Linked DNA regions of Caenorhabditis elegans. The protein of the gene in region 2 purifies or fractionates together with the protein of the main gene of each other region. This does not show direct contact. Each region holds a gene or a part of one and is shown on either strand. Other genes may lie near its edges.

Region 1 (16,103 bases), on a different chromosome or scaffold from region 2:
GAAGAATAATTGTTTCATTGTTTTAAAGACACCATAAATGATCTGTGAAAAATATGAAAGTGGTGAAGAAGATGGAAAGTGAATTTTGAAAGCGCCAATCCGCTCAAACTTTTTTTCCATTAAAATTCAGAAATATTTGAATCAAATCATTCTTTGAAAAACTAGCATAGTTTTTAGCACAACAGAAATAACTTGATTGTTTTTTGTTTGTTTTATTTTATCTACTGGTGTATGTTTCACCTACATTTTATGAATACTATAATATACGTTTGAAACTATTGTGTTCGTAACTGAATTGAGACATGGTTAAACCAAATTCCAAATTTTTGAAAAATGTATTAAGCCTCATGCATATTTTTTTCCAAAAATTAAATTCGGTATCAACCTAATTGAAATTTTAAATCGGGCAAGTCTACTTTCATATCCAATGTATTGCTTGATTATCCGAATTTATTTTATATTCTGTTCCAGGTGCTTGTTTTTACATAATTTTCACTATTAAATGAACACTTTGAAAAACGAATCAAAGAAGAAAATAATTTATATGGAAATAGAAGACTAACTAGACATATTGAAACAGTTAAAACATTAAATTCTATAAAAAATTGTGACATTTCAAAGTGTTAGGGCAACGTCGTCAAATATGTTGAGCAATACGCATTTTCTGAATTTTTCGTTACCGTAATACTACAGTCCCAGTATCCTTTCAATTAAAAGTTCCCTTATTTGTGCACAACATGGCAAATGCTACGTTGCCGTGAACAATCTAATTTCCGGTCAGAAAACTAGTGTATTAAATTTTGCCACGAATCAGTAAAATTTTAATTTCTAACTAAAAATTACGTTTGTTTCTACAGAAATTTAAGCGAGAAAACAACATTTTTAGGTCAACTTTTTAGTTTTAAAAACAAAAAGGCGTTGTTTGTGTATAATACTGATTTGAGTTACTCAAAAAATTTTATGTTTCAAGAGTTAGCCTAATAGATCTCTGCGACGTTCTAACCGATTATGATGTTGTTCATTTGCACTTTTTTGCACTTCAATTCGATTTCGGCGGAGAAACGAGTTGAAAATGTAATGTTTAAGATTTTTAACGTCTCAAACTGAACATAATTTTTATTATCACTTTTTTATTGTGTTTATATGGAACATCGAAAAAAATCGGAAATAAAAGGTTACATCATCAAAACATTGGATCGCAAATTTTCACAATATTTTTTTTATCTTCGAGAAATCCAAGAAACTCATTTGGCAAAACTTTTCGCTTGTTTGAAGATTTGTAAATTTAAGATTACACAAATCAAGAGAGTTACTCAATTAGGTCTCTGGCGGAACTCTCGCAGACAGTGCTGGGACTTTTTTTGGTATTATGAGACCAAAAAAACAAAAAAAAACACCTCATTTTCTGTATTTCAAATACTTTTCATATTTTACAAAAATCTTTTAGCAAAATGTGGGTTTAATGGTAAACATTGGTTAAACATTGGAATATTAAAGCATGTATGGTTGATAATAACATTGTGAAACAGTATTAATTTTAGAACTAAAAAAAATAGTTCAGAACTCAATTTTTCAAGACGATTAAATTAGTGGATAACCCGCGTTAAAGTTTTAAGGTTCTGAAAAAGATTGTATATTTTCAAAGTTAAAAAGATTTTTTGTAAGTATCGAATTTCAAAAACTATGTAGTAGGTTGGAACTTTTCAATACTTTTTTCAGGTTAAAAAATTGATTTAAAAATAATTTGCTGTTTCAAATTCATTGTATTTGCCGGATGTCTTTGAGAGGCTACTAACTGTTGTTTTGCTAGACACCTAACATTTTTTTAACCTCGTGATCAATTTTTGGATGATATAAACAGCTTGAGAACCACTTGAGAAACATTTCAAATTAGAAAAAAAATTACTGTTTCAATTATTCGATAAAAGATTTGTGTGAAATATAGAAATAATTTGAACACCATACAATCTTTAGGAAAAATTCAGGCAAGTTCAATGCAAAAATTTTGTCAAATTTGTTGAATTTGCCGCACGCTCTAGTACAAGATGTCATGTTAGTCCCGATGCCTTGCCATTGAGCTGTATGAAGATGTTTATCTACGTATAGTGCGATTTAAATCTGTTACTTGATACATACATAGGTGACGTATAGTCTTTCCTCTTTGCTCTGTGTTCCTCCCCTTTTTTTGTGTTATTCTAGTCTCAATACCTTGCCGATGAGAGGCAGAGAAAATTAAAAAGACTGTTGGTTGCTATGTGCCAAGTGACAGATATATTAGGGTTGTATATTTACGTGCCTGTTCAATTGATTGCTTTGAAAGTACAAATGTTTTATAACTGGTTACAGTTGAGCGGTATAAAGATGCTTATCTATATTTGTTACTTGGTACACTGGAGACGTACAGTCTTTCCGCTTTGTACTGTGTTCCTCCCTCTTTCTGTGTGTCCGTGCCTTGCCGCTGGGCGGCAGTGCAAATTGGAAAGACTGCATGTTGCTATGTGCCAAGTTACAGATATAGTTTGCACTGAAAATAAACATCTTTATACCTCTTAGCGGCAAGACATTTGAACATTCTAGTAATCTATAGTGCAATCTATATCTGTAACTTGGTACATTGCAACCATTTGCAATCAGCCAAATTTGCCGCTTGCCGAGCACGGCAAATGTTGAGATTTGCCGCACACCCCTGTTTGAAACCTCTTGATTAATTTCTGGGGTATATAAATAAGCTGCAGAAAAATTTCAAATCGGGAAACATTTTATTTTGACTGCTTCGATTTTGCGATAAATTATCTGAGTGAAATATAGCAATGATGGCTCTCCATTCGAGGGTAAATTTGACGTTTAGGAAAGAACCAACTCTAAATAATGCACCATGCAATGTTTTTTGGGAAAATTGCTGTCAGGTCAAACAATTTTTTTTCGATAAATTCACATGTTATCTTTTCCTTTACAATTGTATGAAGCTGTTGAAGTAGAATTATGTTTGAATCATGCTATTTATTTCTAAAGGTTATATCTTTAAAATATTGGACTATCAGTTTCAGGGATTCTTCCTCGTTCATTTTTTAAAATCTACATGCTCTTGAATGTTTCAATACTACAAAATAGGTTCAAAATGATTCGGCCAACCGGTATATTTTCACGGTTATTTGCAGTTTCAAGTTCGCAACATAAAAGCCTGATGAAACAGTGAGTTATTGTAGTACACACACCATAGAAAATTAAATCGTTGTAAAACTGAAATTTGTTTTTAAACATTTATTTCTTCCAAATATCAAATTTCTTATTAATATGATCGACTATAATAGGATTTTTAAAAATTTTCCCACGAAAAAATCTGGATATAGTTTTAAAAGTGACTTAATTTGAAAACACAACTAAATTGCTGTTTCAAATTAACTGTATTGCCTGACTACTACTGCGTATCTACTCTCCGAAAATATTCCGCATTTTTGAAACCACTTGATTAATTTCTGGGGGATATAAATAAGCTTGAAATCCACTTCAGAAAAATTTCAAATTGAAAACATGGGTTTTTACTGTTTCTGTTATGCGATAAATTATCTGAGTGAAAAGAAAAAATATTAAAGTGAATTTCAATGCATTTAGAGATTTTAAATTTGAAGTTTGGAGCAAAAAAAAACGAAATAATGCACCATACAATGTTTTGAGAAAATTCGGCCTAACTCAAACGTTACAAATTTTTTCCCTATAAATTAACATGTTAACTTTCCATTAAATATTCTATCAAACCATTAATTGAGCGATACTACAAAAATATTTTCAAAATTATTTGATCGGCATAATGTTGAACGAATCTAACAAAATTATCAAAATCATTGCACATGAAATTAAAAAATCATTGCACATCAAATTAACTAAACATATCGAAACAGTTAAAAAAATTAAATTAAATAATAACAGTTCATTATGGTATTACAATGTTTCAAAAGTCGAGAAGTTTAAGGGCAAAAAAATGAAAAAAGATAAATCATTTCTTTCCGTGAAGTTCGCTTTGGGCTTGATGAACCAGAAGACGAATCTGAAAAATAATTTATATTTCAAAAATTTGGAAAAAATCAGAGAAAATTGTAATTGTTACACAGGATTCAGAAAAGCCTAGAGTCTAAAAGATTAAAAATTAGTTTACTGTTACAAACAGTGTTATTATTTTCATAATTTTTGAGAATTTCAATATTTCCTTTCTGGCCTTTCTGATCTATAACCTTTCTGATCCAATATTGATGACAAATTTCACATATTTATCCCGTAATTTTTCTCGCTCTTAAAACAAAATTGTATCGCCCGACATCTACCAGGCTCCTCTAATATTTTGTTTATTTTTGTAAGTCTATATCTCATCAAGCTGTCTGTATATTTGTAGGTTTGAATTGTATTTTTGTTTATATCATAATTAAGCGAATTTTGCCAAGTTTGAATAGAAAAAGCTGATCCCGTTAAATGTGTCGGGTGCTTTTCCAACTCACCCATTCAATTGGAAAAGCTTCTCGTCTCGATATCAACTGAGCCATCTCGTCATCAATGATAGCGACGCCCCTTTTCTGGAACATCTTGTTAGCTTCATCCATTTTCAGAGAGGAAAGACCTTTGCTGGAAAACAATATTTTCATTATTAAATCAAAAACTTTTTTTCAGTCTTAGAAAATTTTTTTTCACTGTTTCAAAAATTTCATAAAAAATTTTGTTCGCTATGAAAGTCATTCGGAACACTGTTCCAAAATAAATCCGAAAACTACCTTCCACTTTTAACGATACACGTCAAAAATCCATGTTTCGATGCGTCTTTTAAAGTGTGCATTACACAAATATCATAAGCCAATCCGCACCCAATTACTGCATTTATGTCGTTTTTACGGAGAAGCATTTCCAATTCAGATCTGGAATTGGGAACGGGACATAACAATATTTTGTTCGATATTATAAAAAAATTTCCGAAGGAACTAACATTTATAAAAATTTTGAACTTTCAAAGAAATATTGAAAATGTATTCGGTTTCTGAATTTTTTGTTTAGTTTATTCAACAGTTTCAACTTGTTCATAAAAGTTTCCGATTCTGTGTATATTATTGATACAATAACGTGTTTTTATCTTTAAAATCTTTATACCAACTTGGCTTCCCTTGTTAGATATTTTTCAAGTTTTTCAAGTTTTTTGATCAAAAATAAATACTTAACCTCGTTTTACTATTTTTAAAAATAAAAAATTCGACTCACATTGTAGCTGCAGCAGCGGAACCCTGCCTGAGTTTGTGAAAAAACCCGAAACTTTGTCATTGTTTACCTCGGTTGTTAGTTTTAATTTTTTCACAAAGAAAAGAGGTTATTAATTAAAAAAAAATTGTCCAAATTATAAGAAAAATGTGAGACGGGGTTGAGCGTGTTTTACCATTTTTTGTAGGATTTACAAACATTAAGCTTCAAATTGTAGCCAGAATAAATTTTGAAATGCTCAATTTTTAAAACTAATTCTTGATACAGTTAATAGCCGCCAAAAAAACTGACTGTTTTATTCCACAATTATCGCTGAAAGCACTGTATGCATCTACGTAGACATCGGCTCCTTTTTTGATGTAATGGGCTCCATCAATTCTCTGAATTTTTACTGTTGAATAAATGAATTTACACATGATTTTTAAGCGGAGTGGTAGAAACAGAAAATTTTATTTTTATATTTAGAAAATTTATTAAAACTTAAAAATTATTTTCAATTTCCTACATTAATGACTGATTTTTTACAAATATGAATTGGTCATTCCATTTCATTTTTGTTGTAGTTCAATTTAAAACTAATCCGTAAAAGTATTTTTTTTGAATAACTAATTTACAGTTTTAATGAGAATTAACACAAAAAAATCAAAACAAATAAGTGTACTTTTTCTTCATGGATACGGTTTTTGGAAACATAAACATTGAGTTAAACTAAAACTTGAACTTATTCGGAATTTTGGAAAAAAGAAACCATTTTATGTCAATCCACTAAAAAATTTTAAAAAAAGTTTAATCAGTTGAGTTTTATCATGTTTCATATTCATCACAAATTTTAAAACAAAAAGAAACCTGGTTAATTAATTCATTGATGTTGGTTTTCTTTCATATGCAAGAATTGAATTGAATTGATTTTGTGAATTTTCAAGAAATTATTGCTGTTTCATGTTTAGGATTAACGGCACACCATATGTTTGATTGGATTTTTTTGAATTTAATATTGCATTCAATTTTTTAAGAAATAAAAGCCAAGCATTTTAGGATATTTCCAAACTGAAAAGTATTCTAGTAAAAATCAAGTTACTGGAAAAAAATGAAGCGCAGATTTGATTTGATGAAAATATAAATTTTGTATAATCCGAAAATATTTTATGAAATAAGGTTCAAACCAAAAAATTCAGATGAACATTTAAACATTTTAAAGAGAATTTTAAAAAAAATCCTGTTTCAGTTTTCCCGTATTTTGTTTTGGAAAAAAGTTGAGCAATATTTCGGCAATGTTTCGAAAAGTCCATATTTCAATTTATGTCTAACTAAACTATTCTTGCGAGTTATTTTTCTATATTTAAGGATAACTAACCTGAAGTCCCAAATGCAATTGAGATCCCCATCCACCTTGAATGCAATGACTTGGGTACAAAACCTGAAAAGGAGAATATATAAAAATGAAAATAATAGCTCTGTACTTTTCAATGCTGCATTTCAAAAATTCCTTCTTATATTCACCCATTATTCTCTCTTTGAAACTTATGAAACTTTCGAAAATCTTCTACACTGTTCTAGAAACAGGCAATTGCACCGGACATCTCACGGATTTTAATTGTTTTTGTGGGGATGGTGGGAACACAAATAATGCCGGTTGCTGCCAAGCAATATAACTAAAATTTTCGAGGAAAGAATTTTAGTTTCTTGCTCAGCTACAATAAGCGTTGATTTTCCAAAGTTCAGAAGTTTTAAGTAATAAAAAAAATGTATTTCTTCATCTCCTGAAGTTTGTCTAAGTTAACAATTTTTACAGTTTCACCTCTTATATGAATTTTAACTGAAACGGCAAAAATATTTTCCTCTTTCTTATTACCTGAATAGTCGAAACAGGCTTCACAAATCGAACAATATCAAATGGTCTCAACTTCCGACTTTTATCCTCTGGAGCCAACTCCCTATCCGGATTCCGAGCATGTTCAAAAAATGAAATATGATTTGATGGATGCCAGTCTTGAGTATAGACTATCATATTCCAATTGAGATTTTCCAAAAGATTATTGACATGAGGAAGAGCTTCCAGTGGATCTTGCTCCGCGTCTCCTTCCTGGAATATGGAAATGAAAGTTTTAAAGTTTAGAAAAAATGAAATATGAATTTGTGAAAATTTGAGAACTGCAATTAAAATGTTTATTCTGTTTCTATTTCATTTCAGCATATTATTATCCATAAATTCCAACTTGATAAAGTATGTGCCAAAAATCGCATTGATTGAGTTTACTAATATTATGAAAAATTTCTAATAAGATTCATGTAGTCAGTGATACAGTAAATAAATAATAAGTGATACATAAGTGATACAGAATTGAAATTTATTGTTTTAACTAGAAAATATTTTTCAAAATTCTGAAAATTCCATGCTTTGGCTAATAATAGCTAACAATTAATTTAAAACTCAAAGAAAATAACCATTGCACAAAGTGGCTTATTAATAAACACTCAAAATTTTTTGTTAATCTAAAAAGTTTCTGAAACGGTAGAAATTTCTGATAAGTGATACATACTGCACAACGAATACAATTACTGCTTTTCAAAAATTTGAATGTTTTAGATGAAACAGTAATTTTTTTTTCAAATTGCAAATAAATCTAAAGCAGGAGAAAGTTGAAAATAACTCATTGAATGTCTTGAAAACGATCATTGTGGAAGTGACCGACATCTAGCGGGTTGTTCACAAATTGAAAAACCCGGTTGATGTCGGACAACAAATAACTTAAACTCACCTTAATACTCAAACTTCCAGTCACAAAATCATTTTGAAAATCAACAACGAGAAGAGAAGTTCTCAAAGTTGTGAATGGTTTGAGTACGACTCGGGTAAAGAGCTCTTGAGTGTCCTCGTTCCATGTCTTGTTCTGAATTTTTGAAGAAAAAAACTTGAAAATTGTGGGACTAGCATTAAAAACGTGGGAAACAAAACCAGTACTTCTAAATGTTTTGAAATTTTTATCATATGTATTTGAAACAATAATTTTAATTTTATTTTTGGTGTTTTTTTTTAACTTTTTAATGACTGTTAAAACTACTGCTCAAATTTTTATCAATTAACTAACCTCAATAAAATCATCCAACAACCGATCCAACTCGGGAATTAAGTCAATCTCATTGACCAACGAAATCAGTTCATTTTTCATTTTCTCCCGAATATCTTGCTCATTTTGCACGACACCCATTATGCTCCGCGACGCTTGCGCCGCTAGTGACAAGGTATGTACTAGACGGAAAATTTTCGAATTTTTCGGAGAATTTCGATAGCAGAATAAGTCGGAAATTGTTGAAGGTTGTGGAAAGGGTGTCGAATGGGAAATTGGTGACTTATTGGGTTTCCGGTCGGCGGTTGAGATTTCCTGAGTTTTCAATGAATTTGAAAAATTTCAATTTCTAAATGGTTCACTGAATTCCATGTGACGTACTTTGAAGGTATGGAAATTGGAATTTTTAGTGGGAAAATGCTAAGGGATTGGGTTTATTTCTGGAACAGGAAAAATTGCTATAGTGACGTTTTGTGCATTGAAAACTTTATATAAAGTAGTTGAAACAGCCTGTATTTTATTTTCGAAAAAACGAGAAAACTGGAATATTTCTTCAAATTTGAAATAAGTTTGAAACATTCATGTTTGAAAATTATTTTCCATTTTCATAGAAATTATATGAACTTTCTGCCAATATATGTTCGACAGCAGTTTTTTTGCTTTTTTTTGGCTTCTATAGAAATTATTTTTTGTTTTTTTTTATTCATAATATTGTTGAGAAGCATCATACAAATCAAAAATGTTTAAAATTTTGAAGTTTGGCCCAAAATACAAAACTGAAGATTTTATAAAAAAGAGTCAGTACAGTTTTTTCCAAAAGTGTATCATTTCTGTGTCATAAAATATGTCATTTTGTAGAGAATTTTAATAAATTTGAGAAATTTCAATTTCTAAATGATTCACTGAATCCCATTTGACGTACTTTGAAGGTATGGAAATTGTAATTTTTAGTGGGAAAATGCTAAGGGATTTGGTTTATTTCTGGACAATTAAATGTGGTGAAAAGATTGAAATGACGTTTTGTGAAAATCTTATATAAAATAGTTGAAACAGAGCCTGCTTTTTTTTTTTCTTCGGTAATTGTGTATAATACCCCCGCCACTTTAAAAATTAATTTTTTAAACTTATAAATGTCAAAATAAATACAAATGTTAATATTGGTGAAATAGCGACTTATTTCTTTACTTTATTTTTTTTAATTCAAAAGCTTCACCCAGTGTTTTTAAAGAATATTTTGGTTTTAAAATGAATAGATGAATCCGAACAATTTTTTTTTTGGAAAATGCAGAAATAGACAAAGCTAATATAAAACGAGTATCCATAGAAATTTAGGTTTTATCACGACAAATGTGTCAATAAAAGCTATTTCTTATTTTCACTGGCTCACAAATTATATGAATTCTTCTAAAAAACGGGAAACATCTTACAAGGAAAGGAAGTCAATCTAGTATCGGACTTTAAATTGAGACGTATGTCATTTGAAAGCTTATGTTTAGACTAGATCACCACAAAAATTTCAGCGGCGGAACTCAACTCTGAACCCCTGAAATCGCCATCTGAAAGTGCTCCAGTGCATTTTTTCGCTGGCTTCTATGTCAAGTAAATGGCCTTAAAAGGGGTTCTGAGAGATTAGAAATTGTTTTTGGGGGTTTTTAGGGTCTAACAAACAATGTGGGAGCTTTTTGGAATTTTTTATTTTTTTGAAAAAAATCTGAAATTTTTTCGATCAAAATTCATAAATTTTCGACACAAAATTTTTGGTCAAAAAATTTTTTTTTGAAAAAATTCCAAAACTATTTTTTTGTATCCGGGCATGCAAAAAGCTACATATTTCTTCGAATTGAGCATTGTTACAAAATTTTACAATTTTTTACAAAGGGCCCGATTGCAGTTTTTAAAAATTGAAGAAAAAAAAATTATTCCCACTGAAAGAATCGAACACGAGACCTTTATTTCATTATTCCAAGCGTTTACCATTCGGCCATCAACCGTTGTTTTTTATTGTTTTCAATGTTTGTAATCATTTTATAAAGATTGAAAATCATTTTTTGTATAAGTAAAATGAATAAGTACGAAATAGTATTGAAAACTAGGAGGGCGCAGAGAAAAATTTTCAGATGGCGATTTCAGGGGTTCAGAGTTGAGTTCCGCCGCTGAAATTTTTGTGGTGATCTAGTCTAAACATAAGCTTTCAAATGACATACGTCTCAATTTAAAGTTCGATACTAGATTGACTTCCTTTCCTTGTTAGAAATGAAATGCACTGAAAATGTAAAAAAAATTCTAAAACTGGTAGTTGATCACAATTGTTAAAACGTTCAAAGATCCAGTTAAGTTTTTCTCTGAAATTAAGGCAAAATGAACAAAACTGCTAATAGTAATTATTTTACGAATTTGTATAATTTTCTTTATTTGAGAACAACAATCGTCGAATTAGTGTTTTTAAAGAAAGTTTCGGATTTAAAATAACTAGATGAAACAGAACAATTTTTTTCTTAGGAGAGGGAGTATTCTGGTGATTTATCATGGAAATTTAGGTTTTTGCACAATAAAATACACTGAAAATATATTTGTTTAATTCTAAAATTGGACATTAATCACGATTATTAAAACATTCAAATATGAATCATATCAGTTGTTTCTGAAATTAATAAAAAATAAATAATATATGATTTACAAAGAAAATATGGCAAAATAGTATTTTTCGTCCAGTTGTGACAGTTTTATAATGGATTTTTTTTGCTTTTTTTTTCACGCAAATCGTTTACAGAATTTGCGAAAATTGTCAAACATGCATTTTATTTGAACATATCATTGTTGAAATTAAGTGCATTAAAATATTATTTTAACAATCCAAAGTTAGTAGTCAATCAGGATTGTTGAAACATTCAAGAATGATCAGTTTTTCTGAATTTCCTTTTCTGAAAATGAACAAAATTGATTTACAGAGAAAATATGCCAACATAAAATTTCTTGTCCAGTTGTGACAGATTTTTAATGGATTTAAATGCTTTTTTTTCCTAGAAATGTTTACAAAATTTGCAAAAATTTTCAAACCTGCTTTTTATTTCAGATGGAAAGAAGTCAAATTAAAATGTTGAAAATCAAACCGAACAGGATCAATCTTGGTTTTAAAAAAAGTTGATGAAACCGAACAATTTTTTTTGGAAAATGCAGAAAAAAAACTACTGGGCAAAAATTAGTATTCTTCAGGTAGCTTTTTGTGAAAATTTTGTTTTTAGCACAACAAAGGTACCTCTAAAAGTTTTCCTAGTTTGCACAATGCACACAAATTGTCTAAATTATTCGAAAAAATGTGTACATATCATAGTTGAAATTATGTGCATTAAAATATTATTTTAAAAATCCAAAATTAGTAGTTAATCAGGATTGTTAATCATTCAAGAATGATCCTTTTTTTTCTGAAATTTCAGAAAAATGAAGAAAATATGGTTTACAAAGAAAATGTGCCAAAACAGTCAAATTTTTGTCCGGTTGTGACAGTTTCTTTATGCCTTTTTTTTGTTTTTCTAGAATAAAAAGTTCAATTTTAAGAATAAATGTTTATTTTATAGCGATTGTCTAGCCTAACTGAAACCGAAATTTTTTTTTCGAAAATGAGGGAAAAAAAAACGAGACTAAGTGTGATATGCTGATTGTTTTTAATGGAAATTCCGGTTTTAGTAAAACAATTTTTGTTTTGAAATTTATTTTCTTAATTTTCATGCACACAAATTGTCTGAAAATGAGTTATGTATTCGAAAAAAAAATGTAGTTTAAACATTAAAAAATTGCTAAATCGTGACTGAAAAATGAATACGATAAGTTTTTTTTTTGAATTTTAGGAATTTGGATAGTTCTTTTTTATTTGAGAACAGAAGAAATGTGCTTTAAAAAAAGTCAAAATTTTGTGTTTTTTAATGGTTTCTAGTGGAGTTTTATGCTTTTCTAGAAACTGGTCAAAATCGTCAATTTTTTCTGAATTAAACATTTTTTTAAACTGTGCTATAAAAGTTTTTCTTAGTTTTCAGCTACAAGTGCACAAATATCTGGAAGAAAATGTATGTGCATTGAAAAAAAAATCTAAATCTAAATGAATAGCTGATCAAAATTGCTGAAAACGTCCAGAAATGGTCGAGTGTCTTTTAAATATTCATAAGAATTAGTTGAAACCGATTTTTTTTTGAAAACATCCCTTTTGAAAATTAATTTCAGTTTTCAAAGAAATTGTCTAAATTATTTGAAAAAAACAATACTTCATAGGAATTCATAGGAATCAGTAGAAATATATAATTTTTTGTTGAAAACCAAAATGCCAAAATTTTTAAATTTTTGTTCAGTTGTTACAGTTTTCCTAGTAAACGAATGCCCATAGACAATTTTAAAAAGACAATTTTCAATTTTCTATAAAACAACGCCTAACATTATTGCAAAACGTGCTTTGTATACTATGCAATATAATTTTTTTAACAGGCATACGTGTCAAACCCGTTTTTTAAAGTTAACAGCTTGTAAATGCAGACTGAACGTTCTCTACAAAAGTCAAAATTTTAAAAGAAGCAGATGAAACCGGAAATCTTTTTTAATTCCCAAATTGTCTACATTATGTGCAATTTTTTTTTTTCATTTTGGAAATGAAATATTACCGGAATATTGGTAAAAGTTGTGCAGTCTTATACAAAGTAGTTGAAACCGGGCACTTTTTTTGCCGAAAATTGAGAAATGTTCCAATTGGGCTATACATCAGCACGGCACATTTCCTTTTGTAAACTTTTTTCCACATTCACGGACAAGTGCACATGAAAATTGTCTGAATTGTTTGAAAAAACATGCTTGATATTTTATGGGAAATAGAGAAAAAAAAATGTTACAGACTGATAGTGAAGAAAACCACAAAAACCGGGATTTAAAACTTTAAAAAACTTATTAGAGAGCAATCATCGATTTTCTTCAAAAGTCACGGTTTTATATGAAGCACTTAAAACCGAGCATTTATTTTTCGAACATACAAAAAAATGCGTGTTGTGTCCAGCATTGTGTGAGGTTATAATAAAAAAATTTCATATATTGGATGAAACGGAAAAAAAATTAAAATTAAAAAAAAACCACGTGCTGTGATAAACGTGAACAGAATATCGAAAATTGGGAGTTCAAAAATTGTAGGCTGAAAACATCGGAAATGGTTCAAATAGAAGGTTTTCTAAAAATTTTCATTTTTTTTCTGCCAAAACAGACTTTTTGAAAAAAAAATCACATTGTGAGGTGGTTGTGAGAAATTTTAAAGAAATAATAGTTTGGTTTAATCTGTGAAAAATTATTTTTTCGTAAATGTTACCGTTTGATATAGAAAAGCTGAAACCGACGAAATATTTGGTTGAAAAAAGGGTCCATTAATTCAAATTGCAGGGTTTGCAATAGTTTTTTTTGTTGGAAATTTAGATTTTCGGATTTAAACAGCATTAAAAAATTTATTAAGAAAAAATAAAAATTTCAAATGAAAAATTGAATTACCGAAAATGTGTTCTAGGAAAAGTTTTGAACATGGAAAAGATGCAAAAAGCAGCATACTTAAAATTGAAGAATATACAACAAAAAATGGGATAAATCGATTTTTTCTGAAAAAAAAACTTATTGAGTTTCCAAGAAGAATATTTTTTTAAAATACTGGGAAAATAATTAATTTTACTTGCACTGTTTCGTTGACTCTAATTATTCTTGTGTGTGCAATTTTTCAGTAGTCTCCTTTCTTTCTAATTCCAGTATTTTTAAAGTCATCAAGTTTACAATATGATTTATTTAACTATTTACAGTTCCAAAATTATTATTTTTAGAATTTACTAAATGTAAAAAAAAAGTCTTGAAAACATGTCGATTTAAAAATTAAAAATTTCATAAAGAAATCCTATTCTGAAAATTTTTAATTCTGTTTCAAATCAATCTTATAATTACTATGGTATTTAATTATTTAGTATAATCAATTTTGTCTAATTTTTGTGAAAAAACATGCATGACGTCACAATTCTTTTTTTCAGCAAAATTCTCAATATTGTTCTTTTGGAAGTTCAATCTTGAACTAAACAGTTGTTTTCTAAAAAATTATTCCAACTTAACAAAAATTGTTTCAAATTGGTGTTAAACGTACTTCTTCTTTTTTTGTTTAATATTCATGTTGTATTTATCTTGATTTGTTTCCTTTAAATTTGTTAAGGTATACTTAAATTGTTGTAATCAAATCAATAAATTTATCCGAAACTCATTTAATAATATGATAGAGGCCAAACAGTTAAATTTTTTAATTGGAAACTCCAATTTTAACTAGAATACTTGGATTTTGCAAGTCAACAATTTTGTAATTTCTATTAAATTTTTATTTCTGTTTCAAATAAATGTTAAATATACTTCTCCACTTCTAGATTGTTACACTTCGACATCTTCGAGTTTGAAAAAGGTTATTTCAAAACAATTGCCTGAATTCATGAAGTGCATGTGTCTGCAAAACTAAAATTATTTAATCAAATTGTTCGTATTGTCATGAAATTTCATAAGATTGGGTATCAAGAACTTTTGTTTTTTTTTCTAATGTCTCGGATATTATGAATGCTCAAATTTTTGTTAATCCGGCTACTCGAAAAATCGATACATTTAACGACATGATCATTATCATTATTTTTCTCATTTTTATCAGGAATTTCTGAAACGGTGTTTTTTTTAAGTTCAATTGAGAATACAATTTCAAAATAAAAATTCTGTTTCACATCAAAATTATTACATTTACGCTTCCCAGCAGCATTGCTCATTCTTTATAGTTTTTGGGTTTTCCACGTCTTCGTCTTCGTCTTCGAAAAATTTGGGATTTTCATATTTTTGATACTTTTTGAAGTTCTTGCTAAAGTTCGAAAGTTTTTTAATAAACTATCACAAAACATAAAACTAGAAATGAAAGGTAATGATCGAATATTTCGAGAACTGCTTAACGTTTTAATTTCTTTTCACTTTTGGAGGAGTTTTTCGGATGGCTACTTTTTTCGAGTTTTCCTGAAAATAAGCTTTTTGAAATGTTACGTCGAAAAACTGGAGAACAACAAAAAGTGCGTGTCTAATCAGCCATTTGAAATTTTTACAAAGAAATGTTAAATAAATTTAGAACTTCAATCGATTTTGTAATATGTTTTAGAAATATCTTCCAGACTAAAGTATTTCATGAAACAATAATTTTCTTAAGTACCCAAATATTTGATTTCATGGTTTTCAATTCCTTGAAATTTTTGAACCGAGGATGATAAATGCGATGATACCGTCTTCGCTGCGAGACCCGTCGTATTTTCAAACATAGTATTTTGATTTTTGCTAATATGGAATAAAAAGACACGAGATTTTATCGGATATTCGAAGGAAAACTGAATGAAACAGTGGAAATTTTAAAAATGCGGGAAAGTTTAAAACCAAATTAGAACCTTCAATAAACAAAATTAGTTGTTTGAACAATAATATTTTGTTGTAATTGGTAGAAAATGAACGGTAATAATCGAATAAACCTTTTTAAAGTTTTGATTTCTTTTCACTTTTGTCGAGTTTTCCTGAAAATTAAACTTTTTTAATGTTTCGTCAAAAAACTAAAGAACAACAAAAAGTGAAATTTTTTTACAAAACAGTTTTTTTAAATATCAAATAAATTCAGAAATTCAGAAGCAGTGACTTAATATGTTTTTGAAATATCTTGCAAACTAAAGTATTTCATGAAACAGTAATTGTATCAAGTACACAATTTTCAATACTTCGCCACTGTCCTTATTTAGAAAA
Region 2 (16,386 bases):
CCTTTCGCTTTGTCCGCTGCTTTCTCTGATCTTTTGAATCCTTATCTTTGTCCGGTGTCACTGGTTTACTATTCGATATAGTAGTTGTTGTTACAGTAGTCGAGCTTCGTCTTTTCGTCTTTTTTGACTTCTTCGACCTTGTCACTTTTTTACTTCCAGTCTTTGTTTTCTTTTCCTGAAGATTTATATCGGGTTTTGTGGGCTTTCAGTACATCAGGAACATCCTCGCAGCATTATGTACGTACGAAGCACCCGCCCATATCTCGTATTAACTCACCATTTTATCGATCTTCTTTTTTGTTTTCTTTTAGAACCTCTTTTTGAAAGCCATCCCATCACTTGAAAAATGAATGTAGTTTTTTGAATAAATCAAGAAGAAAAGGAAATAAATAGTTTTAAACGAACTCAACAACAAAATAGTGGCAGCAAATAAAAAATCAAAAGAAATGAGAGCACGTCATTTTAAAAAATAGTTTTGTTTAATTTAAATTATAAAATTTTAAAACCAAAACTCTACATTCGTCTTCATAAGGCCATGGGACATTGTGCGCACATCGCGAGTGTGTATAAAGAGTACTGTAGGGTTAATGTGTAAATATACTCTCCTTAATTTTGGAATACATTTTTTGAGATTCAGAAAAATAATTTTTGCTTGAAAAAGAAACAAAAAATGCAAGAAAAGGATCGAAATAAATTTCAAAAAAGTTGAACTTATTTTGCCCCCACCATATTCACCATTTAGTTGTCTCGAGTTTTTTCATTTGTCCTGAATATTTTGATGAAACGCTCAACTCCCCGTGGGACTCTTTTCCGAATTCTTGCAGACTTTTGTTCAACGAAAACGAAATTTTTTATTTTCGAGTCAAAGAAGAGATAGACTAATACGTGACTATAAAAAGACAAATAGTAGTTGTTATATTTAATGCGAAACATAAAAAAAAAGAAAATGGAACTAGCGATTCTGAAATGTAAAAGCCCGCAGAGCAAACATTGAAAGAAGCATCAAAAATCAAAATAAAAAGATTGTTGAATTTATTTATTTGGTACAGATGTTCCTGGTATTTCACTTGCTCTTCGTGGTGAGACCACTGTTGCTGATTTCGAGATTGTTGAGGAAGAGTTTGGCATTACGTGTGTTGACGTTGACATTGTTGCACATTCAGTTAAAACTGAGTCGGGTGCTGAAATAAAGTACTATATAATTGTCTATATAATTAATTAATATCTAACAAGTCTGCAAAAAAACTATTTTAAACTATTTTGTGGTATTGAAAAAGCAAAAGTTTGAGTTTCGAAACTTAATTTTTTGCCAATTTTTTGCCCAGTGAAGATACTTTTAGGTAAAACTGACGTTTTTCTGGAGATCAACCGACGTGGACTTGTAATGTTTCAAAAATTTTTTAAACATAATTTTAGAGAAAAAGTATGTGTTTGGCTTTTTTTTAATCTCTTATTTAATTTTTGGTGTTTTTTTTTTAAATATTTACTCAACACCTCGCTAATAAAATGATCAAAGAGTTCCTTAATTTCGTAACTTACATTCATGATGTACACATGTTTCTTGTGGTACTATTTCAACATGTTCTGTTGATCGTCGAAGATCTCTATCTGAACATAAAAGGTTTCGATTTAAATTGAGATCAACTAAAGAATTACCAATTTGCATACGGCTGAGCAGACTTGTGGTCATGATTGATTCAGATTTGAGTCTGAAATGAAAGGTAGTTTCTAAAATAAGACAAAAATAAAACTGTATAATAAGGGAAAAAGATGAATATCAACATAAAACAAACTTGTGACATTTGGACCTAGTATTATTTGAAGTCTCCGTCGAGACCCACCGAAAATATGAGCGTGTGCCTTTAAATTGACAGTTTGCAAGTGAAATTGTATCTACAATAAGCCCAAAACATTTAGTAATTTTTAACTTTTCTTAGACGATCTTTGAGAAAATTGAGAAAAATTTTAATGAAACTATTACCGTTGGTTCAAAATTTTAGTTGCAACAAAAATGTTGATTAACAAATCAATGTAAATAATGTTTCCAGCAGAAAAAATACTTGGAAAATAAAAAGTTCACAATCTAAAATATTTCGTAAACACTTTTTTTCAAGTAAATTGCTTTTAAATGGACCATAAAAATTTTTTTGTGGAAAAGCACTGAGCGAATGAATGACTTTTTCTTCTCAAAATCACTTCTCGACAATGGAAAGTTGAACAGAAAAATGGAAAATTGAACTTAAGTCTCAATTCAAAAAGAATGAAAAGTTGAAGAACCCTCAAAGCACCAGGAAGTTCTTCACTCTTTTCACTCCAGAAAAGCGAGAAGAAGCACATCAAAAAAGTGTTCAGCTGAAACAAACGGAGCCCTCAAATATTTCGGTTCAGCTTTACCAGAAAGCTGGCACAAGGGAATTGGAGCTGGGAAAAGGGGGAAAATTTAGGAAGAGCGAAAAAGGAAAGAAGAAAAAAAAATTTTTTATTGAAGATAAATATGTGACGGATGACACAAAATTGCATAATGAACTTTCGAGGAACACTTTTCTAAATTAATATTTTAGAAAAAAAAACTAAATTTTAACCTTTCCGGGAGAAGAAGTAAGTAAAACTGAAAAATCCAAAACACACGAGAAGTCTCATGTGCTTTTTTCTTTTGATTTCTGTTTCTAATTCGATTTCCCATCATTTCTCTTCTGTTTTCAAAAATTTCTAATTGGTTGGCCAGAGGGACCACAGAGTTTTATTGAATTTCAGAAAGAAGAAGATACGAGGTCTAACGGTCAACATCCATGTCTTTGTTTCTTTCAAACAAAACATTTCTAATTCAATTTCAAAATAGGAAAATGAAATTGAATGAGTCACATCAGTCAGAACGATATGAAAGTTTAATTGAAATCAAACATGAAACAAGTTTAAACGTAATTGCAACGTGGGAAATTGTAGAAACTTGCTACTTTCTACTACAGTAGAATCTCCAGAAATGTTCATTTGTTCACAGATAACCCCAAGTTCTCAAAAATTTCCATCCAAAATTTCGGTCATTTCATTCAAATCCTTCATCATATCACAACGTCTGGCCTTATCACTTTGGCATGCAGCGATTCGATTGCTTGCCATCCTGAGCATATGCTTCATATTTGATTCCATCATCAGTGGAACTGAATCTTCATACACCCAACGACGAACACGGCACTCGTCTTTCACGTATCTGAAACAAGAATTTTAAGGAATTTTTACTCTGTAAGAAGGTGGAAGAACGCAGGAACAAATTAAATTCCACTCGAACTCCAAAACAGGAAATGTGAGCAGTTGGACTGACAGTGTTAAAATGCAACTCACTGTGTCATGAAGAACTTGTGAGATGGATAGGCAACACTTTTACGCAGATCCTTCTGATCATCATCGTCTTGATCTTCTTTTGAATACTTCTCGGCAGTGTATTGTCTCTGGACGCGAGGAGAAGAAGCATCACCTGGCGGATCTTGTGGAAGATGTTTAGATTCAGCAGATGGCGGAGGAAGGGTCGCTGGAGCAGTGACCATTTGTTCAGTTGTACCAGTTGTTGCAGAGGTTCTTGGTGTTGTGGAAGACACGGATCTTGGCTGATACAGCGGCTCAGAACGAGGAGCCGGTTCCGGTTTAACACCAGTTGGTGGAATTGGTGTTGGAGGTCTTGGAACAACTGTTTTCACCGTTGCATCAGCATCCACAATTCCTGATTGAATGGGCTTTTGGAGAGAAGCCTGAGCTTGTTGTGGAACTAGCTCTAAATTTAAAAGGAGGTTTTCAACAATGTTACAACTTGGCAACTTACTTGCAGCAGGTTTGCTGGGAGCCTTCATTGGAGCCTTCTTCGGAGCCTTCTTCGGAGCCGATCTTTTTGTACGCTTAGCAGATTTTTTCGATCGTTTAGTCTTTCGCTTCTTTGCACAACAACCAAAGAGTCCCTTCTTACTCTTTCTCTTCTTTGAAGTCTTCGAAGATCTACGTGGCTTTGTCTTTGACTTATCCGATGTTGTTTTAGTAGGCTTTGGAGATACCAGTTTTTTCTGAAAAAATAAAACTTTTATTAAAAGCTTATCCAAAATGTAACCTTACCTTGTCTGGTGTGATAGCAGTGGTCATGACGGTGGTTGCTGAAGAGAGATTGAATCGAGTAGTCGAGTTGTACCCAAGTAAATATTGAGAAGTGATTGGAAAAGTTTATTTTCTGATCAAATCAATTTTATATTTATTAAAAAATCCACGGCAGGGACAGAAAGTTCAATTCCACGTTAAAAACGAATTTTTAAAAACTTTAAAAATAAATAAAAAACAATTTTTTCAACTTTGCAACAAAAAAGGATGTATTTTTGAATTCTCTGAATAACACGAATAATAGATTGTTACACGAAAAATAGATTGTTACACGAAAAATAGAAAAAAACAAAAACCCCTGTAGCGCGGCTGGGATGGAATATCTAGGTTCCAGAAATGTACCCCTGATATTAAAAAAAAATTAGCAATTGAGTTTCGGGAAGAGAAGTACTCTTTCAGAATTTGCCGGTTTGCCGATTTGTCGGAAATTTTCATTTTCGGCAAATTGACAATTTGCCGTTTCCCGGATATCAGCTTTGCCGGAAATGTTTAGAGGAATTTTTTTAAAGACGGGAACACTTGAGCAGTGCCTTTTTGAACGTTTTCCCGTTTTCTTTAGATATTTACATAAAAATTTGCTTACTTTTCAAAATAGATGTAGGAACATTCATATGATGCGTACAGTTTTGCCGATTGAAATTGAAATTCTGAAATTTCCAAAAAAAATGTGCAAAACCACAATTTGCCGAAAATTTTCGGCGATTACCGTTTTTCCGGCAAATTCAGCAAATCGGCAATTTGCCTGTTTGCCAATAGAGTTCGACCATTTCTAAATAAAATCAAACACATTTTTTCGAGAAGTTTTTTTGTTGCGCTTTGCTTGGTATCCTGGTTATAAAAAGTTATCTGGAAAAACAGGAATCGTTTTCTTTTTTGAGTAAGCTATAAGACTGCTACGTCTGAATAAAAAAAAACGTTTTTCTAAATTATAAAAAACGATTTTACACGCAAGAAAAATTTAAAGGGCTCAATTATTTTTGAAAACAATTTCACAATCAGATTCGGTATATTGAGACTATTTTCTGTTATTTAGGAGACGTTTGCCATGTATTTATATTCATTGAACTTTCGACATTATTCCCATCTGATATATTTCATTTCAATCAAAACAATTCAAGAAGACAACTTTTTAAATTTAGCATCAAGAAATGACTTAAAATAAGCTTTGACTTGAACATTAACTTCAGTTTTTCTCTTGGAATTCAAATTTTCCAATGTAGCAATCAATGATTCTTCCTTCAAATTCTTCCTTTCCCCTTGGAATTCACTCGTTACAATCCATTCATTCCCTTCATGATTTTCACTTGTAACACTGTTTTCGAATCCCATTGTAATACTTTTTTCAGTCAGTCTGAAATATAAAGTTATCTCGTTCTTATTTCACAGTCAACGTTTGCTCCAAATTGAAAACAAATTTTGGTATTTTTTGAAAAAAGTTAAAATTTTTCATGATTGAGGTTTTACAGATTACTTCCATATGCCTTTACAGCTTACCTGTATGCTTCTGTTTTGTCAGATTTATTTATGAAGAATGCAATTCCAGTTGTTTTTGCTCCCAAATATTTTGCAATCGTATATGTTCCATTTACAGGTAAAACTCTTGTGATAGTTGTTGTTCCATTTTCAAATATCTCGTATGAACATATCATTGCAAGTTCCGTAGAATCATATTTGAAATTAACATTTTCCCTCTCCTTATTCAAGAAATCAATCAAATTTGGTAGTGCCGGAGAAGGAGGATTTGTTGTTGGAGGATATGATGTTGTAACAGGAATATATGTAGGACTAGTTGTTTGCGGTCTTTCAAATGTTCGGCTTCCGATTTGGTAATGAACACGGAAGTTCTGATTGATGTTACTATCCTTGACAATGACAGTAATGTCAAAATATCCTTTCGAATCCGGACAAACATTTTCAAGCACTGAAATAATATATAAAGTTCATAAAGTTTAACGTTGACCCAACTACTTTTTTTTGTAAGATCTTGAAGAGAAACAATTTTTTTAATAGAAACATTCGAAAGAAATATTAATCTTAATTATAGATATGCATGAATTGGTGATTTGCTCATAACATCTCAATTAATTTACTTGTCGCAATTCGCGCATCGTACACCCACAATAATGAGGTTTCGAGGCTCCAGATGGACACATTGCAAAGTAATCAAAGTTTTCGTCAAAGTTTTGAACTATTTAAAAACCGAATAAAGAGTTACTCTTAATTTCAAAAGAAATAACATAAAAAAAATAAATCGTCCATATTTCAAACAAACAGAATACAAAATAAAATGTATTTTTGAAACCCAACTTACCTTGATAGCTAAACTTATTCGCGAACTCCCTGTTCACATCCAGATCAGAACATTTCGATGAACTGATCAAAATAGTTACAATCGCATTTTTGGGAACATCGAAGATCAAAGATCCACTTTGTTTTTCTTCGAGAATGATTGTTTCTGAAACATTGTCTACTTGAAATGATTTTTTTGTTAATATATTATAATTTTTTAAATAAGACTTACCTCCGTTAATGTAATATTTGTGTACCCCTACTTCTGCTACTGCAGTGCATGCATTTTCTTGTTTCTCCCAAACACCGTTAAATACCGAATTAACTTCCGATGTGTATCCAATTGAAACATGTTTGTTTGTAATTTTAACATGATAAACTGTATCAAAACGTTCTATGCTCAAATGTTCCACTGGTAACTCGTTTCGAATTCCATCAAACCGAATCGAAAACACCATAGGGTTAAAATACTGAGCATGTTCGTAGATCAATCCAGTTTCAAGGCTTCTTACTGTAATGCTGGAATAAAAAAATTGTGAAGGCGGATTTATTATGACAGATATTTTTGTGCACCTTTCTGGTTTCTCGGCGACTATAGAAGGACCGCAGGGTTAGTATCTTAAATATCAATTTTTCAAAAATGAAAATCCTAATTTTCTGGATGGTTGCGGAAACATCTATGTGAGAACCTTGCCCTATTACCCTATTTCTTCTATTGCATCTGACTACTTTACTTTGTAAGGTTTTATCTAAATTTATTTTGAAGTTATAAATAAATATTAACTACAAAACGATTGAACAAGAACTAAAAAACATTTTGTCAATTGGCACTTCTTAAATTGAACGAACTATAACAGAGAAACAAGCTGTCAAAGTTGAAATTTCAGACGCAATACTAATGGAGGAAATGGATCGACTTTTCAAGTACACACTTACGCTGGATCACAATTTTTGGTGGTCTTATTAACAGAGATCACAACCAAATCACTGTAGTCTGTCGATGGTCTTTGAATGTCGAAATTATTATTCTCATCTGGTTTAAAACCAATCGATTTCTTCCGAAAAGGATCATTCAGGAAAATCATGTAGATTCCACCCACGGACTCATCGACATTCCAATATTCCGAAGAATTAAAATAGTTAATGAAAATGTAATCGTAGTATACAGGATTCCCAATACGACGGATATAACTTCCTGACTTGTATCCGTTAATTTGTACACTGGCAGTTTCAATTACTTTCGAGTTGTTATTCGAAATAATGATATCGACGGATGTATTCGTATATGGAAATTGTTCTGAAAATATGTTGTATTGTCAACAAAAAGTTTAAAAAATAAGCGTTTCGTTGTATAGTGATTGTGAGATTTTTACTCGTATAAACTTAAAATAGCTTGAAAGAACGCAGATAATATTCCAAAAGTTTTCCTATGTTTCTCAAAGTTTCTAAAAAAAATTTTTATTTCCAGAAGTTTCTCAAAATTATTAAAAGTTTTCAAAATTTACCAATAAAAAACATTGTAAGGCGATTTCTAAATATGCACGGCTACAATCTCCCTCTACTAATCGCAACTCAAAAAAAAAAAACTGGTTTTTTTCAACGAAAAAAAGAAAACTAGAAAAGCAGAAATAAATAATAGATGAAACTACAGGAATCTTATCGTAATTGAAAACCCGGGCAATATCCCTCCAAATATATTTAATGATATTTCTCACCTCCAAAGTTAAGAATTGGGTACTTGTCAACAAGAGTCTCCCGAAGAGTCGTTTTGAAATATGTTTTCTTTACTTCAGTTATCATATTCTCCCCGACATCAAATCTTAGTAGACCGTGATCATGTTCTTCATAGTATATCATATCTGCAATAAATTTCAATTGTTTCAGTAATTGATTGAGGTTTCAGAAAATATTTAACATTGCTTTTTCATATGCGTTATAGATTTTTTGAAGCACCTCGGGCCGATTGACGGAAATGAGGAACAAAAGAATCCTTACATTATGATCTTTCTGGTGAGGGAGAAGGTTAATATCAAATTTGAAAATCAAAAAAGATGATTGTCAAGCTCTACCGCTCTTATTATACAGTCGAAGTGTTTAATTTGAAAATTCACCCTTCAAAAACAATAACTTACCAGTTACATCATAATAATCAAACCTATGAGGAATCAATTTCCAAATACTTTCGATTGCGGAATTTGTTGATTTCTTCTTCATCTGGACAATATTGTTACTATTCTGCACTCCGTCTGTTGTAATTTTGACATTATAAAAATCCATTGTATCGTAACAATAAGCAAGTCTTAGATTTTCTTCGCTCAATTCATTTCGAATTCCATCGAATGGAATTGTAATGATTGTGTTGGAATCATGTTTGAAGATGCGATAGAAAATTCCAGTTTCTTGACTTTGCATTGCAAATCTAAAAATAAAAAATAATGTACAGTTAATAGTACATATATTAAAACGGATTTTCCCAAATTTGGAGACTTCTTTAAAAAAACGACTTACTGGAAAAAGTGTTTGTTCTCCGTTTTAAATACAAATACAAGTTCGCTGTAGTTGGTAGAAGGTCTATTAATATTTATAACCTCTTCGTTTCCATCAAAACTGAGTGCTTTGTTCTCTGTGGGATCATACAGGAACGTTTTGAAAATGCTGATTTGTTCATTTGGATTCAAATTCTCGTTTGAAAATTCTGACGATTTCCAGAAATCGATAAATCCAGGAACAATAGTAATTGGTACACCGTAAAATTCTCTTGTTTTTTTATTGCTGATTTGTTTCTGGACCACATTGAATTCAGCTTTTCCCGGTTTCAGCGTCTCAAACTCTACTAATATATAGGCGTATTCATTCGCATTGATAATCTTTGTGTAGTTTAGAATTCTAATCTCATCATTTTTACTTGTCACGTAATTCTCAAAATCTCCATTTGTATTCAGTAGAAATGCAATTGTACAACGGCTTCCTGATGATACATGCGATCGATTTCTCATTGCATTTTGAACAAATACTTGACTGTAGTGAATTGTATCCATTACAGCAGGTCTTTGACATTTTGGATCTCTTTTATTCGGAGCGAGTAAGATTTTGGAGGTCTACAAACGTTTTTGGACTGTAAAAAGTGTGAAAGAAAACGAACTTGTTGCCCTTCCGCCCGAAGATCGTAAAGTAAAATGAGATCTTTCGATTGTCCACTCCGATCATCCACAATTTTCAAATGAATCGACTGAAGATCAAATTGTAGGGATGGATGCCACTCCTTTGAGACTGGAAATTAGGGAAATGTGTACAAATTTCAAGATGGTAAGGGGTTAGTGGGGAAATTGTTAAAAGCCGCTTTACAAAACCTATGTGTTAATGTATTTAAAAAAAAACTCTCATCCGTTTCCCTGCAAAATCTTTAAAAATATAGTTACTAACCAATGTATTCGATCACAACATTGTGGAAGTAATCATCTCGAATTGGTTTTAAAACGAAAACGTTCAGAAACGTGCGGTCAACCTTTTCCAATTTTATTGAAAACTGTTTGGGAAGAATTAAGCTCAATTTTCCAGACTCCTGCTCCCCGAATACAATTACTTCTGTAAAATAAGGAACATTAGAAAAATCAAAGCGAACCCTTAAACTTACCATTAATATCCCAAACTGAAACATTTCCATGCGGCGAAGTGATTTTCAGAATTTTATCGGTGAGTAACCCATTATTGCAATTGTCAAATGTTCCTTAAACTTTGAAATACATTCCACTTTCCAAAAATACGTTTACCTTCAGCCAACAAAATGACTGAAGTAGCAAAAACAAATAGATTCCAGAGAACCATATTTTCAGCTTGGAAAACTGATACTTGGCAGTTTTGAAGATGAATCCCATTTTTTATAACGATTCCTAATTCGATTTGACTCTTCAACCCCCGCTTTTCAATTTTCGCACATCAGGCATCAATCTTATTCTCAAAACTTATGGGAAACTTTATACAAAAAAGAAAAAACAGGTTGCAGCAATAATTATTCGTAGTCAGAAATTCTTTTATATCTCTTTTTTTCTAGTTGGAAATAAATTTTGAAAATTGTGATTTAAGTTAAAAAGTGCATCATTATAAGGTTTTGTTTAATTTCTCTACGAATTCACCGATGTTTAATTTTTCCAACTTTCGGAAAAGTTGTATGAATATTTTATATTCTAGTTCTCACCATATCTTAAATGTGTATAAAATTTCAGACACGCTGGATGAGCAGGAAAAAAGTAATACACAAAAGTATATTAATTAATTTTTCTACATGTTTCTCTGAAATTTGAAACAAAAATTTGTCACATTTTCTTACTTTCTTCTGGCAAAAAATATTGATAATTGCTAATTAATCTATCCTGAAAACGGGAAAATGTCAAAAAATGTCATTCATTTGCGCGGGAATTCAAAAACATCATTTTTTGTTGCAAAGTTGAAAAAATTGTTTTTTATTTATTTTTAAAGTTTTTAAAAATTTGTTTTTAACGTGGCATTGAACTTTCGGTCCCTGCCGTGGATGATTGTTTAATAAATATAAAATTGATTTGATCAGAAAATAAACTTTTCCAATCACTTCTCAATATTTACTTGGGTACAACTCGACTACTCGATTCAATCTCTCTTCAGCAACCACCGTCATGACCACTGCTATCACACCAGACAAGGTAAGGTTACATTTTGGATAAGCTTTTAATAAAAGTTTTATTTTTTCAGAAAAAACTGGTATCTCCAAAGCCTACTAAAACAACATCGGATAAGTCAAAGACAAAGCCACGTAGATCTTCGAAGACTTCAAAGAAGAGAAAGAGTAAGAAGGGACTCTTTGGTTGTTGTGCAAAGAAGCGAAAGACTAAACGATCGAAAAAATCTGCTAAGCGTACAAAAAGATCGGCTCCGAAGAAGGCTCCGAAGAAGGCTCCAATGAAGGCTCCCAGCAAACCTGCTGCAAGTAAGTTGCCACGTTGTAACATTGTTGAAAACCTCCTTTTGAAATTTAAAGCCAGTTCCACAACAAGCTCAGGCTTCTCTCCAAAAGCCCATTCAATCAGGAATTGTGGATGCTGATGCAAAGGCGAAAACAGTTGTTCCAAGACCTCCAACACCAATTCCACCAACTGGTGTTAAACCGGAACCGGCTCCTCGTTCTGAGCCGCTGTATCAGCCAAGATCCGTGTCTTCCACAACACCAAGAACCTCTGCAACAACTGGTACAACTGAACAAATGGTCACTGCTCCAGCGACCCTTCCTCCGCCATCTGCTGAATCTAAACATCTTCCACAAGATCCGCCAGGTGATGCTTCTTCTCCTCGCGTCCAGAGACAATACACTGCCGAGAAGTATTCAAAAGAAGATCAAGACGATGATGATCAGAAGGATCTGCGTAAAAGTGTTGCCTATCCATCTCACAAGTTCTTCATGACACAGTGAGTTGCATTTTAACACTGTCAGTCCAACTGCTCACATTTCCTGTTTTGGAGTTCGAGTGGAATTTAATTTGTTCCTGCGTTCTTCCACCTTCTTACAGAGTAAAAATTCCTTAAAATTCTTGTTTCAGATACGTGAAAGACGAGTGCCGTGTTCGTCGTTGGGTGTATGAAGATTCAGTTCCACTGATGATGGAATCAAATATGAAGCATATGCTCAGGATGGCAAGCAATCGAATCGCTGCATGCCAAAGTGATAAGGCCACACGTTGTGATATGATGAAGGATTTGAATGAAATGACCGAAATTTTGGATGGAAATTTTTGAGAACTTGGGGGTTATCTGTGAACAAATGAAGTGGCTTGTGAACTTTGGTTTTTATATGAATTTTTGTCTTGTATCTTGTTATTTAAAATTATTCAGACGACGAATTCATTATTCCGCTACTGTTTCCAGTTATTGCCCCCAATCAATGCATTTCTTTAAGACGAATTTATTTATCAAGCCTCTGCTAACGACACAAAAACATGAATAAGTGCAAAAAAATCTCGGCAACTTTTGACCACAAAGAAGCCCCAAATATTCAATGGTAGTTGATAAAGAAAACAAAAAATGAGCAAGCAATTGATAGGTGTAAATGTAAGTGAACCGGGACTGACAAGAGACCAAATACTAAAAATAAGAAAGAAGAAGTTGATGAAAAATGAGAAAATACAGAAAATGTAGTGGATGTGAAGAACTGCTTTGTCGAAATTTACCAGTGCTCGAGCTGTTGCAATGGCTATCACGAAGAGGGCCTGGAAGACGTTCTTAAAATAATTTTTAAAAGGAAAGCATGACGGTTGTTGCCCGAAGAAAAATTTATGAAAAGTTGGTAATTAGAATGGTTATTCATATTTTAAAAAAATCAAAGCCCAACTCACCACATCGTAAACAGCAATTGTATAATAAAACAATGGATGAGCGAACCAGCCGTTGAAACTTTTTGGGAATGGCTCCCAAAGAGCGAATTTCTTCCGGAACATTGCTTCAAATATACAAAGAGCAGTTGCCACAACATAACATAGTTCAAATACAACTACAGTAGTACATCCTCCTCTTACAAGGCATGATGATAGACAGCATAGTGGTTCGAGTTCAAGATGACGGGATTGTACTCTGGAAGCAGTAATTGGTTGATACTTAAAATCCTTAAATTTTGATTGGACTCCATGTAGGCTTTATATACATCCGAAATGTTTTAATTTATTTCCTCAATTGATAAAAATGAGATAAAGAGAGATGGCGCTACTACAAAACTACAAAAATCATTAAGGAGCCAAAATTGATTACCAAACTATTGTTACCAAAACTTTCGCAAAAATATTCATTTTCAGCCAAAAAAGTTGTAAGTATAAACCCGAAAAAAAAACAAATTTTGCGATTACTCGCGAACTTCATTTTCAAAAAAAAACTCACTTCGTATGTATCGGGGCCACTTTATTTGCTTTCATTCTGTTTCTGAAGAGCACAACTTTTTGGTAATGATGATTGACTGTACCACTAGCTTTTTCAAAGTATTGACCGACTTTCCAGTACATAACCCGGAAAGGACCAGGGGCTTGATCTGAAAATATATGTATTGGTTATTTATTTGCTTGTGGAAGCTGCTGAAATCTGGCACATGTGTAGTGTTTGAATCTAGTTTTTCAATAAAATTGTAACCTAAAAAATGTTCTAGAGAGACAACTTTCAAAAACCATAGTAAAGAAGTCATTGTGAAACTGAGTGAATGGCGGTCGGTTTCGTAGACATACTTCCTGTCTCCCATTCATACCTGCTGAGCTTTTTTTGCTTGAATTCTCTCCGCGTGGCTCTTTCACTTTCGGAATTTTCATGGCTCGTTTCCCATTCGGAGCGCTTGCCGGGCACACTTGGTTCAGCTGAAAAGAAAGTGAGTAGGTAGGAGAAAAATATATTTGTATATAAGTCAATAGGATTATTTGATGGTAACTAATGAAATAGTTGATTGTATGTACATAGATGAAGGAATTACGCTCTACATATTGCACAATTTCGCTGGGTTACTGTAATTTTTGCTCTTGTTACAGGATAGCATTAAGGAATTGTCAAAACTTTTTTTTTTCGTTTTCGCCTATAAACATCACAATTATTCCCTACGTTACATTCCGTCATTTTTCAAATCATAGGGAATTTGATAAAATATTTATTAGACAGATGATTTGAATTCAATTTTTGAACTTACTGACTGAACGACAGTCTCTTCTTTTTGTTGTAAATATCAATTATTTATTGAAAAATTATCAAAATAAGTCTATCATATCGAAAGAAAATCAAACAATGTTTACAGTACTTGCTATGGTAATTGAAATTTTTTGTTCGTGGCGAGACCCATAACCATCGTTTTGGGGCAAACATTTAACCTTCTTAAGACAAACAAATACTCATCAACTTCCCTTAACCTTTTCTAGTTCTCACCTTCTTTGCCTGCCCCGGGGTAACTGCCTGCCCAGTTGTGTTATTTTTTGCTACCGAGGTCTTCTCCGGTGGTACCCAGTACTCAACCATGTTTTGATCAGGTTTGTGACGTGGTCGTCGAAAATCTTGATCAGCAAAATATCTCCGGTTTTCCTGAAAGAAGAAGGTCGAATCTGTGCATTGTTATGTCAGTAGAACGTCTTTCTCCTGAGAGAGTGATAAGAAAGTGTATACGGTGATGGATATTTGTAAGTATTGATTAAAATATTTAACAGTCATGCGAATGTGCAAGAAGTGCGCGAACAAGAAAGAAATAATCTCAATTATTTTTGGATAAATCAAAAATTATTCAAAAACAAACATTGATCATCAAATTGGTATGGCAAAAGCTGCAAAACGTTTCGTGTTTATTCGATTTTCTAAAATCTATATTTTTGAAGCACATCGTGCAAAAAATTATTTTTATTTAAATCTTCATAAAGTACCAGATTTTCCGATATTGGAAACTTTGAAAGTTTTTCGATGAACTTTGTTATTGGTTATAATACAACACTATCATTCCATTAAATATTTGTACCATGCAAATTCCATTCAAGAAACCTCATCCTTATCCTGACTTGGAGTAACTCCAGTGAACAACTGGACCGTTGCCAAGTTACGTAACAGCTTCAGATTGTTTTGTCGAATAGCCTACAGTAATTTTTGCAAATGCCGCTTTATAAACAAAATCTTATTCCAAAAAATATATTCACAAAACACTTACTTTTTCAAATTCGTTCATCATTTTGCTGTTGTTAAAGAATTAGAGAAAGAAGCTAATAGAATAAAAGTTTTAAAGTTAGATTCAGAATTCTTTTTGAGATTCAGTTACGTGAATATGTGGCGATTCCTTTCAAGCGAATTCTAATTTTTTCCAGGCACACAAAGTGGGCGTTTTGTGCTCCGTGGAGCCAGCGCCGCCGTTAAAAAAACTTTTTTTGGCGGGAAGAAAAAACGGAAGAAGAAATCGGGGGAAGTGAAAGGCGGTGAAAAGGTAATTGTGGAGAGAAATGGAAAAATAGAAAGGGTTACGGATGATGGAAAAAAGGTTTTCAGGTTTAGAATATGAGGTTTTTTGAATGGAAGATTTGAATTGAAAACTGGTGTTTAATGTTTAGAAAAAGGTTATTTAAAGTTTCAACAAAAAGAAACAACATATACGACAAAACTCAGTTTTTTTGAGAAAAAAACTCTTCACATAGTTCAGCCAAAAGTTTAAATACAACTAGCAGAATATTTGAAATTCCTTTTTCTTCATTTTTCGAAGTTCTATATTTTGGTGGAATTTAATCATGAAAAAGGTTAACTAACAAAATTTTTCTGATGTATTTTTTACGCCTTTATACCGAAATTATACTTCAATCAACAAATAAACTAGAAATAAGCTAACAAAATATTCAATGAAGGGTAATAATTAGTTTAAAACCAAGTTCCAAAACTAAGTTGGCAAAATTTAAGATCTTACTTTAATTGAAAATAGGTATTTTTTCTGAAATTTTGAGCAGCCATAACTGTTTTCGCCTTAAAAATGCCTAGTTACGAAATACGGTAATAGTCTTGGGCCAATTTGAGTAGAATAAAGAGATGATCCAAATATCGCTATTCTTCTTTTAGCTATATAAACTGAAGCTGTTCAGGATGTAAACTCCTGGAATAACTTGAGGTCGAATAGAAAAATAACGACTCCAAAACAAGAAACTCTAAGAATAAAGATGCTTAGAACTAGGACACAAAAGCATTCTGAAAAGTCCAATGCTTTCAGACGAACTTGAATTATGACAATAATATTTTGAATAGAAGTTGCTAAGTGAAAAACACGTAACACAACGAAAACAAAAATCTTAGAAAAGATTTAGTAAATAAACTTTGGCCGAGCACTCAGTTAAATTTGTACTCAGGGAAATATGTAGACATCTCTCAATAGTTTGCAAATTTCAAAAGACGAAAACATAAAAGTTCGCATAAGTTTCTGAATTTATGAATCTACAGTGCATCAAAATTTTATAA

What was found.
Region 1: the proteins of C45G9.10 (region 2) and pnc-2 fractionate together in Caenorhabditis elegans (co-fractionation; one large-scale study listed by BioGRID). This does not show direct contact.

What each region holds. Positions count from the first base shown.
Region 1 is NC_003282.8:14,901,070-14,917,172, forward strand, and holds pnc-2 (nicotinamidase), read right to left. Parts: upstream 8,621-16,103; 5' UTR 8,445-8,620; coding exon 8,325-8,444; intron 8,194-8,324; exon of another isoform or gene 8,173-8,193; intron 8,127-8,172; coding exon 7,995-8,126; intron 7,786-7,994; exon of another isoform or gene 7,765-7,785; intron 7,703-7,764; exon of another isoform or gene 7,679-7,702; intron 7,495-7,678; exon of another isoform or gene 7,456-7,494; intron 7,319-7,455; coding exon 7,088-7,318; intron 7,015-7,087; exon of another isoform or gene 6,994-7,014; intron 6,987-6,993; exon of another isoform or gene 6,801-6,986; intron 6,653-6,800; coding exon 6,590-6,652; intron 6,573-6,589; exon of another isoform or gene 6,551-6,572; intron 6,521-6,550; exon of another isoform or gene 6,497-6,520; intron 6,234-6,496; exon of another isoform or gene 6,213-6,233; intron 6,111-6,212; exon of another isoform or gene 6,087-6,110; intron 5,634-6,086; exon of another isoform or gene 5,616-5,633; coding exon 5,527-5,615; intron 5,458-5,526; exon of another isoform or gene 5,437-5,457; intron 5,116-5,436; exon of another isoform or gene 5,092-5,115; intron 4,965-5,091; exon of another isoform or gene 4,944-4,964; intron 4,902-4,943; coding exon 4,761-4,901; and 12 more.
Region 2 is NC_003281.10:5,051,631-5,068,016, forward strand, and holds C45G9.10 (uncharacterized protein), read right to left. Parts: upstream 10,269-16,386; 5' UTR 10,252-10,268; coding exon 10,197-10,251; intron 10,154-10,196; coding exon 10,061-10,153; intron 10,012-10,060; coding exon 9,850-10,011; intron 9,697-9,849; coding exon 9,569-9,696; intron 9,525-9,568; coding exon 8,935-9,524; intron 8,846-8,934; coding exon 8,559-8,845; intron 8,286-8,558; coding exon 8,142-8,285; intron 7,724-8,141; coding exon 7,363-7,723; intron 6,946-7,362; coding exon 6,659-6,945; intron 6,593-6,658; coding exon 6,449-6,592; intron 6,059-6,448; coding exon 5,632-6,058; intron 5,489-5,631; coding exon 5,251-5,488; 3' UTR 5,214-5,250; downstream 1-5,213. Other genes in the region: C45G9.15 (DUF851 domain-containing protein), read right to left, coding at 1-175, 278-280; C45G9.8 (uncharacterized protein), read right to left, coding at 1,033-1,181, 1,540-1,608, 1,657-1,690; C45G9.9 (uncharacterized protein), read right to left, coding at 3,013-3,208, 3,340-3,766, 3,815-4,049, 4,099-4,125; C45G9.4 (uncharacterized protein), read left to right, coding at 11,076-11,102, 11,152-11,386, 11,442-11,862, 11,994-12,189; C45G9.11 (uncharacterized protein), read right to left, coding at 12,363-12,659, 12,786-13,020, 13,321-13,468, 13,679-13,784, 14,341-14,493.